Linked DNA regions of Danio rerio. The protein of the gene in region 4 interacts with the protein of the main gene of each other region in a pairwise test. Links are inferred from orthologs where the notes say so. Each region holds a gene or a part of one and is shown on either strand. Other genes may lie near its edges.

Region 1 (5,977 bases), on a different chromosome or scaffold from region 4:
GTTGTGTGGACATTGCCACTATAACATCTATCAGACATTGGATTTTGGTCACTTTCCAACACAACCTAAAATCAACCTAATTATTATTGGATGTCAAAATAATCTGACGTCATGACCTAAATCTAACCTACTGTAATAGTAATACCTTATGATGTTGTGTGCCTGCTGGGAAGGGATACCCAAAAATGAAAATTATGTCATCATTTACTCACCCTTCACTTGTTTCAAATCTTTTTGAGTTTCCTTCTTCCATTGAACACAAATGAAGATATTTTGAAGAAAGCTGGAAACACTGATCTCCATAGTACTGTATTTGTTTTTCCTATTATTGATGCCAATACAGGTTTGCAGCTTTCTTCAAAATATCTTATTTTGTGTTCAAGATAAAAAAGAAACTCAAAAAGGTCTATAACACCTAAGGGTGAGTAAATACTGAGTAAATATTCATTTACTCACTTGAGAGTTTCAGAATTAGGTACAAGTAACTACACTGTAAAATTATTTGAACAATTAGTCATGACAGCATATGTTTTTAGTTTGTTGTAACTTATTAAACTAACTTAATTATGTTCGAACTTAATTTTATAAGTTATGCAAGCAGTTTTAAGTCTGTTTTACATAATATAAGTTAAATGGACTCATAAAGTTAATCTTAATTCAGATTAAAAATTTAAGGCAACTAAGATTTTTTAGGCATTTATTTACTGTTATTATTATAGTAAATACAAAAAACCCTGTGTTACAAGGATATCATTAAATATCAAGATTTTTTTTTTATTTTTTTATTTTTTGTAAGTAGTGTTCTAACAGCATGTGGCTTCTCTTATTATTTGTTATTGTTTCTCCATTTAACTGTCAGGGGGCCTTGTGCAGTCCAGCATTCAACTACAATGGGCCACGCTTTCCTTGTTCCCTCAGTTTGTTGTGATTGGATTAATTGGGTGTCATTCACTTCACAAGAGGTCAGCAGACATACATTTGTGGTCAAAAGTCATCCATCTATCACACTGCTGAAATGAAAAGTCAGACATGTCAAGCAAGAGAAGAAGAGAGCAAAGGCTCCAACAATGGATTTTAGGGGCAGGGCAATATCCCAATCTGCTAAGGTTACTACAGTCTATAGTTCAAATTAAACTACAAATGAATGTCTAGGGGCATGGCAGATTTGCACCCTAATGTCTTATGAGCAGATATGAATTACAGTTTCATAATTTATGTCTATTCATCACCTGCTTCGAGGAGTTCCAGATCTCAGAGACATGAAACAAGGCACATTTTCATCTCTACCTTGACAGTGATGTACAATAAAAGCAAATGAAAAACTAGTATGCCAGATCACTTATGGACAAACAGAGCACTTGTAACCTCTGCATCTCTGCTAATGGTTAATCTGGGGTGGATCTCTGCCTTGATTGGATAAGAGTCTCCGCAGGGCAGGTGAAAGCCCATCAATTGCCCACCATGAAACAGCAATACTTGTATCAGCAAAGTAACAGCTAACAATTATATTACCAGAGCCAAACGTGCTCTCCTATCTCACCACTAATCAAAACACAGCCCATCTGTTGTGTTGTGGCTCTCAAAATGACTGTTTATCTGAATATGGAAAGTGAGTCGTCTAGCCTATCATACATATCTAGGAGTATTATTATAATGACAAGAGCGAAGAACGAGAAGAAATTAGATCATGAGAACTGCTTAAAACGCTTTTTAAAAGCTCAAACCCTCTTTTCTCTATTTATAACACACATCACAATCACACAAGAACACACGTACACACACACATCCCCTGTGAGCACTTCACAAAAACACTCACACACACTCTGTTAGACACACACACACTTTCCCTTAGCTGTGCTTTTGTGTTTTGTCAGAATTAATGAGAAAAGTTCCCTTGCCCTAGGGGTAATTAGTGTCCTTGGAGTTAAATAAGCTAATACTTAGACACCTCTGGCACAAGCAATTATGTTTGTGTATTGAATAATTGATTCAAAGAGGGGGGAAGGGCTGCTAATCAGATCTGAGCATAATGAATTGATTTAATTAACAGGGGAATCCGTGGCTCTCTGGGAAGCGCGCGCATTTATTCAGTAGCAGGAGCGCGCGGAGCGCATAAATTGGGTGAGAGAGGCAGCGTGAGCATGCTGTTAGGAGTTGTCAGCCTCAGAATTGGATTTCTTGAATATAGTTACAGTTTCGGAGCAAATGAGAACTGGGAGGAACACGTTTCTACTCCGAGAATAGCTTCTTCGCGGCAGCTCAATTTAAACGGGAGTTTAAATTAGATTTGAGTTAGTGCAGTCGTTTCATTTTCGAATGGAATGCACCGTGGCGTCTCACTTTAGTTTTAGACATCGTTAATTGCAAGCGTGGATATTATACTGACGCGCTGCGCACGCGAACGCGACTAGGGGGACATCGCTGCATGTAATCTCCGAAATACATTAAACAATAGAATAACCGACGCATATGCTTCTCTACATGGCATTCTGTCTCTGAACAGCGGAAAACCAACACAGACGAGCCTGTATAGTTAAAGCTTGTGGCAGCAACGCGGACGATTATTATTTTGTTGTTGCAAAGCAATTTCTTCTCAGAGACGCGAGCGGCGCGCGCAGAAGTGTGCTGGAGCCGAGAGCGGATCGCCTGGAGCCGGACTCCTCGCTCCTCAGGACGATGGTGTTAGACAAGGAAGAGGGTAAGTGCACGGATGATTGTTAGTGCATTCATTTGCTCCGCATGACTATGAAGAACGCGGGACAGTAAGGAAACGCAGCATTTAGCGTCCATTTTCCCTCTGAACGGCACTTTCATGCTCCAGTTCGTTTGTCATATCAAACGGACACGTACGTTCGCCAGGTTTACATGAGGGAGAGAGCGCGAACGCGACTCTGAAACACTTTGAGTCGGGAGAGACATGCCGAATACGGTGTACTTCTCTCACTGTCCATTTGTATATGAATATTGATAATCTGTTAGAAAGACGTAGCGTCCGCATTCACCGCAGTGTTAGTTAGAGCTCGTGCAAATCTGTGAAGTTACGGAGATGTTTTATCAACAGCGGGTGTCTTCGCTCACAGGTGAGAGCATTTGAACCTTAACCTTTACTGAAAGATGTAAACGACAACATTTATACATCACCAATTGGATAGCAGTGTATTGCGTTTGTAAACATGTCAGCGTTTTATAGCCATATGAGCAATGCACTTCTCTGTATTTACGCTGCTGGCTGGTTCCTATGGAAACCGTTTATAAACTTTTCTTTTGGAGGTTGTGGTGCTGACAAGTTTGTGGTGAAGCTGAATCCCGTTTTTTTTTTTTTTTTGTATTCTAATACGTTTTTAAACTGTGTTGAAATGGGAAATAATCCCTTTAAAGCGTCTTTGACCTAAAATGCCTTTCTTGTCATGTTTCTGGGAATACTGTCATCACACACACCTTTAGTTTTAGCCAGGGGCCCTTTCCCCCCCAAACTAACGGCTTGCATTTCAGACCCATATTTATGTTTGAAAATGGATATTTCATATCTCTTTGAGCCAACCATCCTTTCACTAACCCATCTAAAAACCAATAAAGAGATTGCCGTAGAAACATAAATTGGTCTGTCTCGCTCAATCCATGTTGCGCTAATGTACCCAGATTAACTCAACTGTAAATTGTCTCCTTTGGATGTCTGTCTTGCTAAAAGTTCCCCATATGATTCATGATTCAGATTGCTTTTAACAGCTATTGGCTAAGCAATATGGTAAATGTACAAGGTGATGCAAATGGCATTAGTAGGAGAGGATGCACAGGAGCATGTAATGCAGTCAATACTACATTAACTACTGATGCCCAATTACAGAAGCAGGGAGAGTGGCTTTTAGGAGCATTAGGACTTACAGAAAAGCTTAGATCACCTGCTGCTCATTGCCTAAAAGCTTCACCCTTTGCGTGCTGGTGCCGACCAACTGCGCTGGCATTTTGGCAGGGATGGGGAAGCAGCTTGGATCTGCTTTCTCTCTCTCTCTTTCTCTCTCCCTCTCTCTCATACACGCATATACCAACACAGATGCACACACACTTTTAACTAACACAGGAACTGAACAGATAAGTCTGATCCTAATATAAGGCTGTGCTCTAAATATATCAGAGGTACAGTATTCTCAGTTCAGTACATCTTGTACTATATTAAAAGTGAGGGAGGAATTCAATGAATTGTGAAACCCTTGTGAAAGAATAACCATAAGCACGACTTTCATGTTGTCTGTGAACATGAACAGGTCCTCAGTACGTATTAACTTACACTGTGATTCTGCAGATTTAATACAAAAAATAAGTCATAATGTTGTATTTATAATGATTTTGTAAACTACAGAAGATATGTATGTGTTTGGTTTTCAATAACTGAACTTTTAAAGGCTGTCAATGCGAGTCTTTGAAATAACTGCATCCTGCAACAGAAGACTTATCTAGTTACCTTTTCCTCAACATCCTCCAAAAAGTGTGATACGAAGCAGTTTTGCTTTAGTTTTCCATCCACAAATTCACCCTAAGCTGTTGGGAGGCTCTATTAGGAAGTCTTAAAATATGTACAGTTTCCTATGTGAAATATGAGGTCATTCAAATCGCTGTATACTATGTAATGATGTACTAAGCACAGGAGATTGAAAGTAGAGCGATGCGGGGCTTGTGCACACTCTCGCTATTGTACTACTATTACACTGCCTTCCCAAATTATCAGCCCTTTCACATTTCAGCTTTGCTGCCTTTGTCATCAGTTGTCCTTGCACTGTATTTGATCCTGGCAAAAAAAAAGCTGTACTGCTTTCAGGCAATAGCACAATACCATTTAGTACTTTCTTCGCATGGTTTGGGGAAATGTGTTAAGGTACAGAACAAGCACAACTCCTTTTCATGACTACCTTTAAATAAAAGAAGCTCTCGGTTGACTTTTAATTCTCTCTGGAGAAATACGCTATTCAGCCATTTTCTTTCCCTTCAAGGTATTTAAAACTATCTGGATTGGATGGAATAATTGGGTCCTCATTGTGGACTTGTTCAGGATTGATCATTCGCATCGCTGGACTCTGTAAAAACCTGAAAAAGAGAAAAGAACACCTTCCATTCTTCATTCTGATGATAAATTCTTGGTTACCGTTTAATTTACGAGCCCTGCATGCCGACTGACCAATGAAATCCGTTGGTTACTAGCGCATGTACTTGAAATGCAATGTTTCAAATGAATACTAGACCCCTGATCTGTCTGCTGCTGTAATAAAACTCAGGGCTTCAGGCACCGGTTTTTATTTTGAAATAATAAGAATTGCTTCATTCTTTACTCGAGTTACCATGGTAATTCTGTCTTGTAGCAATTTTATATTGATTTAGAGAGTGGACAGTAATATTTCTTTTCCGTTATTCCCCTTTCTGTGGGTTGATTTCTAATTTCCACTTGGAGATTACTTTTATACATTCCTTAAGTCTTTTCACTTTTTTCATCCTGCAAGGTAATTTTCTCTCTTGTATTTGCTATTTTCTCAGCTTATTGGCTTGTTCTTACTCTAAATTAAACTTGCCAATTTCAAATATTGAAATTACATCAATGTTTCTCTCGCCCTGGGTCTCTTGCAATATTGCGCCTGGATTCGGGGCCTAATGCTTGTGTTCCTGCCACTTATATTGCTTCAGCCTGAAGAAATTCCTACTTTATAAACATTCCTCCTGATGCAATTACAGTTCAATATATCTGCAACTGATGTGTCCTCAACACAGAGATCCGTCATTGCTGTGTGGTCTTTAAATTGCCCTGTTTTGAATGCATGATGGTTGGACACATTCTGATGAGGTTGAAATGTTAAACATTACAAGGTGATGCCTCCCTTTCAACAGCACAAAATTGGACAGCTGGCCATACTGTTTTACCATAATTGCTCGCAGAGCCTTTGCTTAAAATCTGGGGACACAATACTAAATTTACGACTGGGCCCCCATCAAA
Region 2 (5,390 bases), on a different chromosome or scaffold from region 4:
CTAACTGACATCAACAGTTGTTTGCTCCCCTTCTCCCCTGTTGGCCACGCCCACTCCTGCCCTATGCCCGTGGAGCTCCACGCCCATTAATCAAGCATCTTTTGAAAAAATTCTGAAGTAGACTTTAAATGAAAGTGGGGGGTGTCATGGCCCTTTAAAATGTCCTCAATGTTTACCATTGCCACGCTAATAATGACTCTAAACTTGAACACAAGATATTTTGAAGAATATAGTGCCGTTGACGTTCATAGTAGGACCAAAAACTACTATGGATGTCAATTATTCAGTATATCTTCCTTTTCTTTCTTGGTAAGGAACTCAAACTAGTTTATAAAAACACAAGTGGAGTGATATTATTATATTAATCTGGGGTGTTTAGGTCTGACATCATTAAGTGCAGAAGTTTGTGATCTATGAACGTCACATCTAGCAGACAGGCGAATGAATCTGTTTTTGTGCACACGTTTTCTCTGAAGCACACTGATACATAAGGAATCATTTGAAGAAAAGGTAGTGATGCGGCTGCTACAGCTTGAGTGTGCATTATTTTTTAATTAATCAACAATTCAAGTGAATTACTCTGCTTAATCTCGGGTTCCCACAGCTAAAGCTACTGTTCAGATGTTGTATTTCAGACATTTGTCAGGCTTTTGTCCTCAATCTGCTCCTGTGTGTTGCATTGGTTTCTTCCACATCTCCTCCAAAGCCTTGAGTTGTGTTTTGATGTGATTTTTGACTGTTGTAGCTGTGAAATAACTCATTTAGCATAGTGATACAGAGCTGTAACACACTCAAAACTTGCCGGAACTACTTTAGCTGTGCATTCATCTGAAACAGTACAGCTTAGAATGCTCATCAGCCAATCAGAATCAAGCATTCAACAGCTGTAGTGTAAGCACATTACAGTAATGGCGGAGTGGTACGGTACTGTACGGTTCGGTTTGGTATGCTTTTATGGCCGTTTCCACTATTAAAAGGCGTACCGAACCAAACCGTACCGTACCACTTATTCAGCACCCTTTCGAAAGGGTCCCAAACACAAGAAAGGGTACCAAAAGGCGGAGCTAGACGTGCAGCTGAACGCTATAGGTTTACAGAGATATGTCATTCGCTTAGGCAACAAGCTAGAATGTAAACAAAGGACCCGCCATGTTTGAAATACACAGCGAGAGATTACTTGCGCTCGCCGCGCGTCTATATCTGAAATAACAAACCTCTTGAGCTGATGATAATAACTTGCGCTTGCTAATTGACATGCTTTTGGAAACCCGACTGCTGCAGTTTTCCATTGGGGGTCTATAATTACATGGTGTTCGCTCACAGGTAACAGCGAGGAGGCAGTGGAAGAACGTGTATGACGAGTTGGGTGGTAGTCCAGGCAGTACAAGCGCAGCCACCTGCACACGCAGACACTATGAAAGGTAAACAAATCACCAAAACAACAAACATTAAGATTTCATGTGGACTTTAATAACATGTAGTAACAATGTGGGCCGTTTTCATGCTGTCACTTTTCTGGAGGTGGACTGCAGCATTGCAGAGCTCATTCAGCAGATCCTCTAGTTTTTCACGATTATGTTTTTTTTGTGAATTTTTTTTTTTGTGATAAATGTGACTGATTTTGTGGTGGTAATTGGCAGAAATTTGCAGACAATTTTGTTATTAAACACACACATATATATATATATATATATATATATATATATATAGATAGATAGATAGATAGATAGATAGATAGATAGATAGATAGATAGATAGATAGATAGATAGATAGATAGATAGATAATATATTTACTATATTAGGTGGCCTACAATGTTTCAAATCATAAAAATAAAGCTTCTTTATTTTGGTCCAGGGAAAGAGTTAAATGAAAACATTTATTGATTTCAAGAACATTATATTACACACATTTCAGAGCCTCTGCATCGCCTGGGTTGTTTCGTCTCCAACTTTAAAACTCATTTGTGTTTGCAGGTTGGTTTTGCCCTTTGAGCGGCAGCTGAGAGGAGAAGAGGACAAACCACTGCCACCGTCCAAACCTCGCAAACAGTACAAGAGGAGCCCTGAGAACCGGGGGAGCAAACCAGAGAGCAAGAAGAAGAGGAAGATGGAGAGAGACGAGAGCGAGGTCAGAGGACAATAACGAAACTCACTTTAAGCTGAATACTAGTATCTTGAAGAATATCTAGTCAAGTATTATGTGCTGTCAACATAGCAAAGAGAAAAGAAATCTTATTAATCTTAATAGAATCTTAATCTTATAGAAAGTTATTAGAAATGAGTTATTAAAACTGTTTACAAATGACTTCTTTACATTAAAAAGCACTTGGGAAATATTTCAGGGGAAAAATTCACATTTAAAATTGTCAACTGTACATCAAAATATCAGAATTGGGTGAAAGAAATTGGTTATTGGGATTAAATATTGGGAAACACTTCATTTTGATGGTTCATTTGAGTATCAGTAGACTGTCTGCTTAATATCTGTTGATACTGCTGCTAATCAGACATTTAACTGACTATAAGAAACTTTGCAAGTACATGTTCAACTTACACTAACTCTAACCCTAACAGTCTACTTATAATCTGATGAGAGTTAGTTGGCATGTAGATGCAGTGTAACTTAAATTCAACAAACGGACCATCAAAATAAAGTGTGACCAAGTATTGCGATATGTGTATATATTGAATTATTCTCCAGCCCTATGCTATAATGCTCTGATGTTCAAGTCTTAAGACTAAGGGATCTAAAATAAAATGGCAGTCTTTTGGAAACAATATGACCAAAAAGCCAGCAAGATCATCTCAAATATGTCTGTCACACAGTCCACAAAACGAGGTGTTTCATGTGCCTAAAAGTCAATGGACGTGAATGAAGCTCTGCCAGGAAGTTTCTAGTATCTGAGAGCTTATTTAGCTGGTTTAAGTATGTTTGATTAGAGTTGAAGCTAACCTCTTTAAGACACCGGCCCTCCTGGACTGAGTTTGGACATCTCTATGGTATGGTAACCTAAATATTCCAGGATTGTTAATGGGTGAAGTAAAATCATTGGTAAAACACAAAGTAACTTGATCTCTACCAATGTAAAGTCAAACAAAAGGCTTTAAAATAGCAGCCCTGTCATAGAGTCATATTAAAAATCTAAATACTCTCCACAGAATTTTGCACACCATATCAAATTTAGTCTTGTTCACTCAGTAATGATTTAACCTCCTAATTAAAATGACCTTTCTTGGGCTTTCTTACAAATGCTTTCGGTATTCTCTGAAAAGTCCCGTGAAGTGCTTTGAAATGTGCATTTTTATTCGATGTTTGACGCATCTTAACTTAAACATGAAGAGAGGGCGGGGCATAGAGTAGCCCCTCCCCTTTAAAAAAAACGGCCAATAGCGTTTTGTTTTTATCACAGCTCTACCAGTCAGAGTGGTTGATGTAAATGTCAAGCATCTGAAAGGGGCGGGGCATGTCAGATACTAAAGACCATTTGATTGGTCAGAAGATTTGATGAGAAACTAAAGTATGAGTTGACATTAATAAAATCGTTGACCCATTTAGGTGGAAGAGACAACCTACAAACTTTACATGTTTCTATTACTTTAATATCTCCTAAACACGGATTTTGTCACTGTTTTGATGCGTACTAGCTTAATGATCTCCTAAAAACAAAGAATACTGATACAAACATTTAAAAACTAGTGGACACATTGGACCTTTAAGATTGGAATCCATATATAATCCCCTAAACCAGGGATGGGCAAACTTGATCCTCGAGGGCCGCTGTCCCTGCACAGTTTTGTTCCAACACTAGTCAAACACACCTGAACAAACTAATCAGTGTCTTCAAGATCACTTGAACTCTATAGGGAGGTCTGTTTGAATAGGGTTGGAGCTAAACTATGCAGGACACTGGCCCTCCAGGATCAAGTTCGCCCACACCTGCCCTAAACACTACCGTTCTTACACTACTGTAAGTTCTAAAGTATCCCACTTTTCTTTTCAGGAGAAAATGTTGTCTGATCACCACTGTGACAGAGGCAGGTGTTCTCATCACAGTCCATGGCTGATATCCTCTGATCGCCTTGACTCCGAGCACACATCCACAGCTCCAGTCCTTGGCATGAGCTCCAGGGAGAACCCGCTTCTCCAGACTTCCAGCCCGCCCGAAGTCATCTCCCCCCTGGAGAAGAAGAAGCGTCTGGCTCAGGCTAGCCTCACTATCCCTGCCTCAGAGGACGGTGGAGAACTTGAGCGACCCTCCGTTATCCACATATCCCACTCTTCCCAGTCTAACACTCGCGGTCGCCACTCCTCCGATGGCTCTCCTGTCCCAGTCTCCTCTCCTTCTGGATCCCTGTCTCGAAGCCCCTCTCCATACTCCGTCTCCTCCGAGGACTGCATAGCCGTCACGACTCAAAAGTCTCCAGCTAAAGAGCCTGAAAACAAAACAGCGACTCGTTTGCCAGCTCTGTCCACATCCAAAGCTGTCAGCACCGGAGTTTGCAAACCACTCAGCTGTTACCCCAACACCAAAGAACTCGCCAACTATCCCCGCTTACATTATCGAGAGTTCCTGCAAGCTGGTGCAACAGAAAAGACCCAGAGGAGTCTTTTAGCATGGACCTCTGATGATAAATCCAGACTTGCATCCCATAGGCTGCCCTTGCCAGCCTACACCAAACCCTACTGGGTCCCTCATGCCTCCAGCTTCTCCAAGGTCTTGCCCCGGGATCCCTGCAGGCCCATGTCATCACTACAGCCCTCTTTTAAACCGCACATGTCCTCCTACCACCAGCACCTCCTAAAGAGACCTGATGAAGCCTACTTGAAGAAGATGCCAGTATCTTCTCCGATTCGCATTACGGACAGGAAGGAGAAGGCAAAGACGGCGTTGCCCAAACCTCTGCCTACCCAGCAGTACCTCTTCCACCCGCATGGCGGACTCACTGTGCCCTACCAGCCAGCTTTAGAAAGACTTCGAGGAGACCTGACGGTTGAACAATTAAAAGCTCTACCTCTGCAGCCCGTGCTTTTTCCAACACATCTGTCAATTCCTCCTGCTCAGAGCCACTCTATGCATTGCCCGCCAGTGGGAACCCACTTTCCTGGGTCTTACGAAGCTGCTTTGCCTTCGTACAATTACCCGATGCCAATCTGGCATGCGCCTGCTGGATATAACATGCCAAGCCTGCAGCCGTACTGAACTATTCGCAGACCTTAGAGACTTACTTTTGGGCCGTGCTTGTATGCAACTCCTCACACATACCACTTGAAACTAAAATAATCATTAATACAGTTAGAAAAGGTTTAAGCGAATTACAGTGAGCTGTTTACATGAACCTCGTGAAATAAAAGCCAACTTACATAACTCATAACGCACAAGCACTCTTA
Region 3 (4,625 bases), on a different chromosome or scaffold from region 4:
AGTTCTCTGAATCAGGCTCAGCGCGGTTCACTTGAGCATTGGCGCGGTACGCTTGTGTGTGTGTGCAAAACGTGCCTGAGCCCGAAACTGAAAGCGAGACGTGACTTTTAAGGGACGGTTTCATATGTGTTTATTAATCATTCTTACTGTTTAATGAACACAAACTGTCGTAGTATATTAAAGATGCAAACCCCTCACTGCACGACAGCTGCACCTTCAGCAAACCTCCTAATTCCTGCAGCACGAGGACTTTATGATTGTTTATGAGCGTCAAAAGATGCTGATCTGTTCGGCGAAATATTTGACTGCATGTCACTGCATATCGAACCACTAAAATGACTAAAATCTCCACTGTGAAGAGTGAAAGCGCTTACTGAACAGCGCAGCATCGATGACGTAAGCATGCCCAGGCCCGAATGTAATGTGAGTGCGGGCCATCGGGGGAGACGGAAGATGGTCAAGCATGCTTTGGCCTGGTTCAAGGCAACGGTGCATATTGTGAGTACACCCTTAGTCATTGTTACTCGAAGCTCTGAGAAACATTTGCTCTGTTTGCAAAACCTACAGGAACTAGCTTATAGATACAAGTACACATAGACATTTTCATTAGATTCTTAAAAAATGTATTGATTATTATTATTATTATTATTATTATTATTAATAATGATATATTTTTTAAATCACTAATGTGTGAACAGCTTATGACGAAAAAAAATAACCATACCTTTAATTAAAGGGATGGTTTACCCAAAAATAAAAATCACTGCAGCAATTACTTTGTTCTGAGTTTTTTTTCCTTGTGTTGAGCACAAAGATATATTGAAAAAATCTGGTTGATGGCAAGCATTGAAATAAATGGTGCAACGCAGGGGTTCCTTAACTTTTCAGCCCGGGACCCCCAAAAATAACAATGCCAATGACTCACAACCCCCACTATTTTCGAAAGTGGTTATAATCATACAAACGTTGCACACAACACTCACACAAACCAATAGGCAGGGCCAGACGGAATCTGCGCACGTGTTTTGCTATTTCTGCAGAAAATTTTGGTAATTATCTGCGGATTTCTGCTGAATTATTTTGGGAGTATCCAGCGCAGTATCATAACTAAAACCTTAATATATGAAATAAAAAATAATAAATTACTGAGTAAAAACTGAATAACTTCAGATTTACACATTTACTCAAGTAAATAAACAGAATTAATGATGGGCTAAAAATCTGCTGAATTCTGCGCGTGCAGATTCCGTGTGGGCCTACCAATAGGCCTATATAAACACAAGCATATTGATAACACAAAAAAGTGTAACAGTCTAAACACCCAAATCATTTTTTATTATTATGTAACATTAACCTCTCCTAATGAGACTGGAGGGCACAATATTTAAGTTAAATCACGTCTTTTCTTTGTTTAAATTTGGAGACCGCTACTTAAAGATCATTCTCCATGTTAAGTCGTGGCCTGTATTTATTTTAAATGTACGTGAGTGTTGTAAAGGTGTCAGAAAGTTTAGCTAGTGCCGTAAAATCAATCTGGTGCTTGGGTGCCATCAACCAGCATTCTTCAAAATATCTTCTTTCGTGTTCAACACAAGAAACTCAAATATTTTTTTGGCTGAACTTTCCCATTATCATGTTGTCTATGCTTAAATCTTTAGAAGAAAGACTTCAAGTGTGTGCAGATGTTCTGTTTTTTTTTTTTGCTGGAGTAACTGAGGGTGGAGCTGTAAAGGCTCCGCCCTCTGCAAAAGTGGGTGGGTCCCAGCAACTTATTTGCATTTAAAGAGATTGGGAAGACCCGAGACGGGCATTACTGGCTGTAAAATAAAAGTCACAATAGGACCCCTTTAAAAGTTGTTCATTTAATGAAAATGCTGAATAATATTTAGCTTTTATTCTTCTGGCGTTGTGAGAAAGCAGCTCGTTAGGTTTTGCAACAGAGCTGCGGTAATTCGTGTTGAACATTTGTGACTCTAATAATTAAATCACCTCACAAAAACATGTTATATCAGCACCACAGCACAGCCCAGCCAATCAGAAGCAGAGCTCGAGGTGAAGACGTCAACCAAAATACAAACAGCTAAACTCTGTCACTTTCACTCTCACACACACACACGCACGCACGCATGCATGCACACACGCACGCGCGCGCACACACACACACGCACACAAGCACACACACACACACACACGCACGCACGCACGCACGCACGCACACACGCACACACGCACACACACACGCACGCACACACGCACACACACACACACACACACACACACACACACACACACACACACACACACACACTTAAAAAAGACATACAGTGAAAACAGTGCCCAACTGCAGAACACACACACAGGACAACATCAAGAAATAAACTACAGAAAGCTTGAACAAGACCAAAGAAAAAGACACACACGGACAAAACAGCAGCTGATCTCGCTTCACACACATCACACTATCAGACACACGCTTGCTCGCACACGCATGCTTGCACACACACTCACTTGCTCGCACACGCCTGCACACTCACTTGTACAAGCATACTCGCACACTTGCTCGCACGCACGCTCATATGTACACGCACACACACATGATCACTCACACACTTGCGCTCTCTCACACACACACTCACTCGCTCTACCGCTCTCACACACATACACTCACACACACTCAGTGTTAGGCTGTGTTAGATGGGTGGGCATCGACATGTGGGGCACCATGCCATGCTGAGCAGTTCATGCCAAGCGACCAACCACAGAAAACCCCACCTACCTGCCCACCGTCCCCAACCAATGGGCTGCCTCTGTCTACCTGTCTATCTGGAAACCAACCAATTACAGCGTCACAATGCGCAGAACAGAGAATCACAGGACGTGACCTGTACTCAATCAGTGTGTGAGACGTGTATCATTATCAGATCACTGCATCAGAGTTTGAGTAATTGTTAAATGTGTGTGAGAGTGTGTGTGTTCACCTGTGGACAGTTGGCTGTGTGAGCGGCGGCGGGTGGTGGGGGTTTTGGAGGTGGAGGACAGGGTTGATCCTGCACTGCTGGCCCGAGAGATGGGCAGAGGAACAGGGGTCACAGGAGGAGAGTCCAGCTGCAGACACCAAAAATACAAACAATAAAAAATACAATAAAAACATCACAAACTCCAGTGTTTCCCAACCCTGTTCCTGGAGGCACACCAACAGCACATGGATGTCTTGCTTATCTGACCCGCTAACTTCAGGTTTCGGAGGCTCTTCTACTGTTCGGATGAGTTGATTTAGGTGTGCTTGATTAGGAAGAGGTTGAAAATGTGTACTGTTGGTGTGGCTTTAGGAACAGGGTTGGGAAACACTGCCATACTCAATGGATTAAAGAAACTCAATGGATTAAAGAAATAGTTAAATATAGTCTTTGAGGTTCAGTGATTACAATTTTGAACATTTGGTGGCTATAGATGGAGCATCTTAAATCCTTTTTGATCCTACTTTAGACTGAACTGTTGCCCATCTTGCACTTTTAGTCTGTACCTTCCAGATGAGTCTTAGTGCTGATATAGCACAAGCATAACAACCCTTTCCTGAAGTGCCAATTCAATTTAATATACACTCACCGGCCACTTTAATAGGTACACTTGTCCAACTGCTTGTTAACGCAAATTTCTAATCTGCCAATCACATGGCAGCAACTCAATGCATTTAGGCATGTAGACATGATGAAGTCGATCTGCTGCAGTTCAAACCGAGCATCAGAATGGCTGTTGGTGCCAGACAAGCTGGTCTGAGAATTTCAGAAACTGCTGATCTACTGGGATTTTTACGCACAACCATCTCTAGGGTTTACAGAGAATGGTCTGAAAAACAGAAAATGTCCAGTGAGCGGCAGTTCTGTGGATGCAAATGCCTTATTGATTCTTGCCTTGTTGTTGGTTCTAGCTGATAGATAGGCAACAGTAACTTAAATAAGCACTCGTTACAACCGAGCTCTGCAGAAGAGCATCTCTGAACACACAACACATCCAACGCTGAGGCAGATGAGCTACAGCAGCAGAAGACCACACTGGGATATATCTCGATTTCTGCAACATTTAAATGGTAGGGTTAGAATTCAGCGTCAACAACATGACAGCATGGATCTATCCTGCCTTGTATCAACAGTTCAGGCTGGTGGTGGTGGTGTAATGGTGTGGAGGATATTGGCACATTTTGGGGTCATTAGTTGAGCATCGTGTCAACGCCACAGCCTACCTGGGTATTGTTGTTGGCCATGTCTATCCCTTTGTGACCACAGTTTACCCATCTTTTGATGGCTACTTAAAGCAGGATAACATGCCATGTCATAAAGTGTGAATCATCTCAGAACATGACAATGAGTTCACGGTACTCAAATGGCCTCAACAGTCACCAGATCTCAATCCAATAGAGCACCTTTGGGATGTGGTGGGAGATTCGCATCATGGATGTGCAGCCAACAAATCTGCAGCAACTGCATGATGCTATCATGTCAATATGGAATATGTAGGAATATTTCCAGTACCTTGTTGAATCTATGCCACTAAGAATTAAAGCAGTTCTTAAGGCAAAATGGGTCTAATAAAGTGGCCGGTGAGTGTAGATTTTCCTCTTCTTTCTT
Region 4 (5,390 bases):
GGCTGGTCTGTTTTCTTATGTGTGTGTATAAACACCTTCTGTCAACCCTAGTCTTAGTGCATCCAGAGTATATTATGTCAAAGGTTCGGTTTAGTAAGTGAATCTTGCTGAGAGTCTTACTGAGTTTGGCATGCACAAAGCATCTTATTGAATCTAGTTGGTAGTTTGTCTGACTAGTTGTTTTAGGAGCATGTCTACTAACAATGCTAAGACGCATTCTCAATGGATTCTTTAGGGTTCACCCATGTGGTAAAAAAAATCTGGACCAAGCACAGGGGTCACGACACTATTTGAATGTATAATATGTTCATGTGTAACTAGCCGACTCTCACATAGTTGCCCACTGAAGCTAAGCAGGGTCAGTACCTGGGCAGACGGTCAGCACGATCAGTATTTGGATATAAAGGAAAGCCACATGAAAAAGCTAGATTGCTGCCGGAAGTGACATTAGTAAAACCAGCAGGGGGTGCTCAACCTGCAGTCTGTGTGGGTCCTCACGCCCCAGTATTTCGGATGAGATCGAGAAGAGAATCAGAGAATTTTCCCACTGTCCATTATGGCCTCCTAACCATCCCCATATCACTCTTCGCCAATCGCCAAGTGGTGTGCGATCTGGCTGCCATCGCGTCATCCAGGTGGATGCTGCACACTGGTGATGGATGAGGAGATTCCCTTCAAAAAATGTGTAAAGTTCTTTGAGTGTCCAGAAAAGTGCTATATAAATGTAAGGATTTTAAATTATTATTAATGTGTTCTATCTAAGGTTGACAACAATGAAAATCTTTTTTTTTTCTGTTAGCCCTAACAAGAATTAACAAGACTAATTATTTGCATGATGTTTTTGGTGTTAATATCTAAGTGAACCACCTTCAAAGCATCAAGTTAAAAGAAATTAAAAAATATATTAAATATATAAATTAAAATACTTCAATATAGCTATAAAAATGTCTATTTTAACCATTCAGATCCAGTCCTAGTATGAGCAACAGGGTCTCAAAAAGAAAGCAGGAAAGAAAGATCGCTTTGATGCCTCCTTTCTCTGGAAGACTCGTCACTTTTCACACAAGGCCTTCCCTTGTCCCAGGCCGGCTCACATGCACACCCTCTTGTGAAAGCCCAGTCTGGGAGCTGTTAAAGGGAGCTGCAGGTTTATTTTTCCAACTGGCCAACTGTGACAGTTGCCTTTATTGTGCATTGTTGAGTCTGTGTGTGTGTGTTTGTGAAGGGGTTACAAATGGAGCCTACTCTCACCTTCCTGCCAGGGCAAAGGGTCAGGTCAGCTGCTATGACTCCCTTCTTTCTCTAGCTTTCTTCATCATCTGTTTTTCCCTGGTGTGGAATGTGGCCCCTCAGAAGGTAGAGACCGAGAACAATGGGTGATTGTGGGGCCTGCAGACGTGTGTCTGTGTGTGTGTGTTTTAGCACAGATATATGACCTCAGACACACAATTGCACACACATGAACTCATTAACAGACGTGCTCATTTGGACATTTGAACGCTTTAGGGGTTTAGTGCACTCAAACACACACACAATTTTTGATTGGTGGTAGTCTGGGGTAATACCGCAGTGCGACTACATCCTGTTGAGTGATTTAGTCTTCCCCTCCTGCCGTCTGCTCTGGGGCTGCTCGTATGTCAGAGCGTTCTCAGCTTTAGTTCGAGGTCGGAGGTCAGCTCATGCTAAATGTGTAGCGAAGGCTAGGTAAACATCAGGGTGATAGCACATCTCGGGAGGAGCACATCTGGGCACAATGCTTCCTGGACTAGCTCTTTGACCTGTGGCCTGTGTCCTTTAACCCTTGCAGGCACCCCGGACAGTCTGGCGGAGAAAGAGCGGCAGTTGATGGGGATGATCACGCAGCTCAGCAGTCTCCGAGAGCAGTTACTGGCTGCCCACGAGGAGCAGAAGAAACTGGCTGCTTCACAGATTGAAAAACAACGCCAGCAAATGGAGTTAGCAAAACAGCAACAGGACCAGGTCAGCAAATATTTACAATGTTCGTCATGCGCATGTCTCACTAGTTATATTCAGTTTTATCCAAACTTTTTCAAATGAAGCCAAATAACAATGACCAGAGGGCAATGTAGGCTGATTGTAAATATGCAATATAGGCATTAACCAAGCACAATGCAATAAAACACAAGGCTTGGTGAGTAATGTAGTCTCAATGGTCAAAAATTATTACCAACAATTGTTTTCTGATAGGTATGTAAGTACGTGTTCTGTAAGTATGCCACTTAGCAATGCATTTTACTGCTAAAAGAACAGAAAGAAAATTGATCTGAAACTTGTCTTAAAAGTAGCAGACATTTTTAAAATTGACCCCTGTGGTATGTCAGATTACAGAACACATACCAAAGTTGTCTGTGCATGTAATGCTGGTATTTAAAACATTACGGGGACCTTAAACATTATTATTATTATTTTAATTTTCCTCTTTTGGTCCCCATGAAGAGAATGGCTCATAAATAAACCAGAATTAATCATTATGAAAATGTAAATCTGTAGAATGTTTAAGGGAATGACAAACCAAACAATCTGTACAGTCTAAAAATCATTACGTCTAGGAAACCTGTGTGTTTGCATATATTTATGAAAGGTACAGTTTGTAAGATTCTCCACTTTGAACCAAATTCATAAAGAAACCTTCTGTTCTCTCCATCCCGCTTGTAAGTGTATGAGAAACATTTAGGTCCCCTCCAGCACACAAGCAGGAGACTAAAGGTGTTTGCATACAGAAGAGAGTGCTTGGGCTTTGTTGTGTGCATAGTTGCTTCTGGGGAGCTTAGTTTTACAAAAGAAAACAGATCTGTATTAACACATTTACTTACACACCCCTGTACACATACACATAAACATGCACAAGCGCACAACGCTCCAGGACTAGGCGCCACTCCTTAGCAAATATGTCTAAAATACAAAAACACACCCAAGAGTTTCAAACAGTGCACCATCAACAATTCACTCATCCCAATCTCTATCTACACAAATAATGTTCTCTATTATTGGAGAAGAGTTTGACATGTTTGACAGTTTGACATGTTCTGTCCACAGATTGCACGACAACAGCAGCAACTTCTGCAGCAACAACACAAAATCAACCTCCTGCAGCAACAGATCCAGGTGAGTCTTCATATATATACAGTATGTGCATGTCCAGTATTAGGACTGTATACTTGTTTGCACTTATGCTTTTGAACGCAAATGTTTATAAGATGTCACAATGTGAGAGTCTTGTCACCATGACTGTGGGGTTTCATGACAATCAAACATTTCAGTCTGCCAGTCAGCAATCAACCCCCCTCATCAAATCACAAATGTAAGAGTGGAGCTTATATTTAGTGTCCATTCTTGTAGTCCTTTTTGTGAAACAATCAAAATATAACTACACAAAACAAAGAATCACAAAGCTGTCCTCTGAATTACTGTACATCCAATTTCAAGACAATCCTGAACACATTATGACAGCTCAGTGGAAGATATTTAAAGATTAGAAAAATGACTGAGTTTACTGCAGCTCAGGGCATCCAGGATAAAGGTGATTCTTAAAATGTAAATCAATGGCTACTGTCACTTTGAAATTCAACAGGCAAAATTAAATGAACACCAGTGTCTTCTGATGATAATGATAAAACGATAGGTCTGTGAAAGAAAACAGAAAACACTACAGCTACTTGCTATATTTCAATGAATAGTTTGCGTAAAAGAACACATGGGTAAAGTCCTGCTGGCTGGTAAGGGAGCTTGTGGAAAACTGAACACAGACACTTTTTTGATGGGTTTGTCCCAGCTGACTTATACATGGGGCAGAGAAACACTGGCCTGCTTTGTGTGTGCAGGTGTGAAGCGAATAAAGTCTTTGTGTGCAAAAGGAAATGAGATGAGTCTAATTTGGTTGATAAAATGAGACTTAGCCTTGAGAGGGACTCCGGCAGTTTTGGCCAGGAAGCCACATCACACTGAGACTATTCACACACGCATACACAGATCAGTCCCGTCCGCTGGACCCCTGCCATTCTTTTTAGTGCCTGGCTGTGTGTGTGTGTGTGTGTGTGTGTAGCAGCTGTGGTTGCTCGTGTGTGCATGTTCATACTATACAGCTTAGTCTGAACATGTGTATGCGAGAATTATCTGTGTCTATTTCAAAATCCTCACCAGCTCATGTCTGTATATGTGTCAGAAGCAGCTGTGTGTGCGTCAGTCCCCAAAACACGTCCGCTTGGGTTTTTCTAGCCCCACTCTTCACTCAGAGAAACAAAGCTTCTTTTTCCCATGACTTTGCAACCTTTTCCCAAACAAGCACTTCTCCATTCAGCCCAGTGGAACAATAGTTTCTCACAGTCAACGCGGAGGCAGTGGAGGGGGGAGAGAGGGGGAGACCCTTGTTATGGGCCAATCATGTATTAGCCCAAAATCACCTCCTTAAATCACGCATTTAAATTGTGTAGCATACAGACCGCTAACATACTCTGACCAAACACTTGCTTCATGTCTGAACTCTGGAGTTTTACAACACATTACTAAGGTCAATATCCAAATTCCATGTTTAAAGAAAATATTTAAACTATTGTTCCCGGCCTTATTTTTATATATTTATTGTATGACATTACCTTTTTGCCATCTCTTACCCTCATCAAAATTGGTTCACACAGATACGCATCACATTAAATAAGTCAAATGGAGTGCTGTTTTATGTTGACTTTTGAGTTTCAATGGAATTTTGCTCCTGTGGCGCATTGAAAACTCCTTGAAGAGTTACTTCTCTGCAGAAATATGCACACAGTTAACACATATATACCTCTCAGTGTGGGGCCACTTCTTTAGGCTCTTGGGGGTAACATCTACACACTCTTTGCTTCTTATTAAAGCGTCTTCTCTCAGGACCCCTCACGGGGCCTTAACAGGACTCCTGACTGTTATCCAACCAGAAACACAGGCTTCTTTGGATGAAAGAATACACCTGCCGAGAAGCTTGCGGCACACACGCAGAAGCATGAGGCATGAAATGCAATACATATAATGCATTTCCATGCTTAACGACAGGTGTAATGTTGAAAAAAAACCTGTGGGTGCAATGGCTGTGAGCTGCCCACTGGTACAACCTCATTCTGAGCTTCGCCGTACTCCCAACATTTTCCCCCTTCACTTTTCTCTCATTAGCAGCCTCCTTTCAGCACACCTCCTCCGGCTCTGCGGGACTTCGCGCTGGTGTTAGAAAATTTCCAATACGTAGCGCAGGGGCCGAGATGAGGATTCTCTGCTGTCAAAGTGTCAGTTACCGCGGGTAGCCAGACCTCCCATGAGGAGATGTTTTTGCGGGCTAATTTGATGTATAACTATGGCCATTTAGCACAATGGCATAAGCCACACCAAACAAAACAAGCACG

Evidence for each region.
Region 1: the proteins of sox5 (region 4) and lmo1 interact in binary tests that used the Homo sapiens proteins (3 or more experiments, as listed by UniProt). The two-hybrid records come from large-scale screens. The link is inferred for Danio rerio from reciprocal best matches to the Homo sapiens genes SOX5 and LMO1.
Region 2: the proteins of sox5 (region 4) and arid5a interact in a two-hybrid assay, tested with the Homo sapiens proteins (2 studies listed by BioGRID and IntAct). The two-hybrid records come from large-scale screens. The link is inferred for Danio rerio from reciprocal best matches to the Homo sapiens genes SOX5 and ARID5A.
Region 3: the proteins of sox5 (region 4) and kifc3 interact in binary tests that used the Homo sapiens proteins (3 or more experiments, as listed by UniProt). The two-hybrid records come from large-scale screens. The link is inferred for Danio rerio from reciprocal best matches to the Homo sapiens genes SOX5 and KIFC3.

What each region holds. Positions count from the first base shown.
Region 1 is NC_133182.1:28,178,875-28,184,851, reverse strand, and holds the start of lmo1 (rhombotin-1), read left to right. Parts: upstream 1-2,110; 5' UTR 2,111-2,676; coding exon 2,677-2,698; exon of another isoform or gene 2,699-3,046; coding exon of another isoform or gene 3,047-3,080; intron 3,081-5,977. UniProt on the Homo sapiens protein: May be involved in gene regulation within neural lineage cells potentially by direct DNA binding or by binding to other transcription factors.
Region 2 is NC_133183.1:62,230,964-62,236,353, forward strand, and holds part of arid5a (AT-rich interactive domain-containing protein 5A), read left to right. Parts: intron 1-1,323; coding exon 1,324-1,421; intron 1,422-1,975; coding exon 1,976-2,129; intron 2,130-4,002; coding exon 4,003-5,202; 3' UTR 5,203-5,390. UniProt on the Homo sapiens protein: DNA-binding protein that may regulate transcription and act as a repressor by binding to AT-rich stretches in the promoter region of target genes.
Region 3 is NC_133193.1:48,553,492-48,558,116, reverse strand, and holds part of kifc3 (kinesin-like protein KIFC3), read right to left. Parts: intron 3,106-4,625; coding exon 2,979-3,105; intron 2,824-2,978; coding exon 2,777-2,823; intron 1-2,776. UniProt on the Homo sapiens protein: Minus-end microtubule-dependent motor protein. Involved in apically targeted transport. Required for zonula adherens maintenance.
Region 4 is NC_133179.1:17,602,273-17,607,662, reverse strand, and holds part of sox5 (transcription factor SOX-5), read left to right. Parts: intron 1-1,807; coding exon 1,808-1,980; intron 1,981-3,057; coding exon 3,058-3,126; intron 3,127-5,390.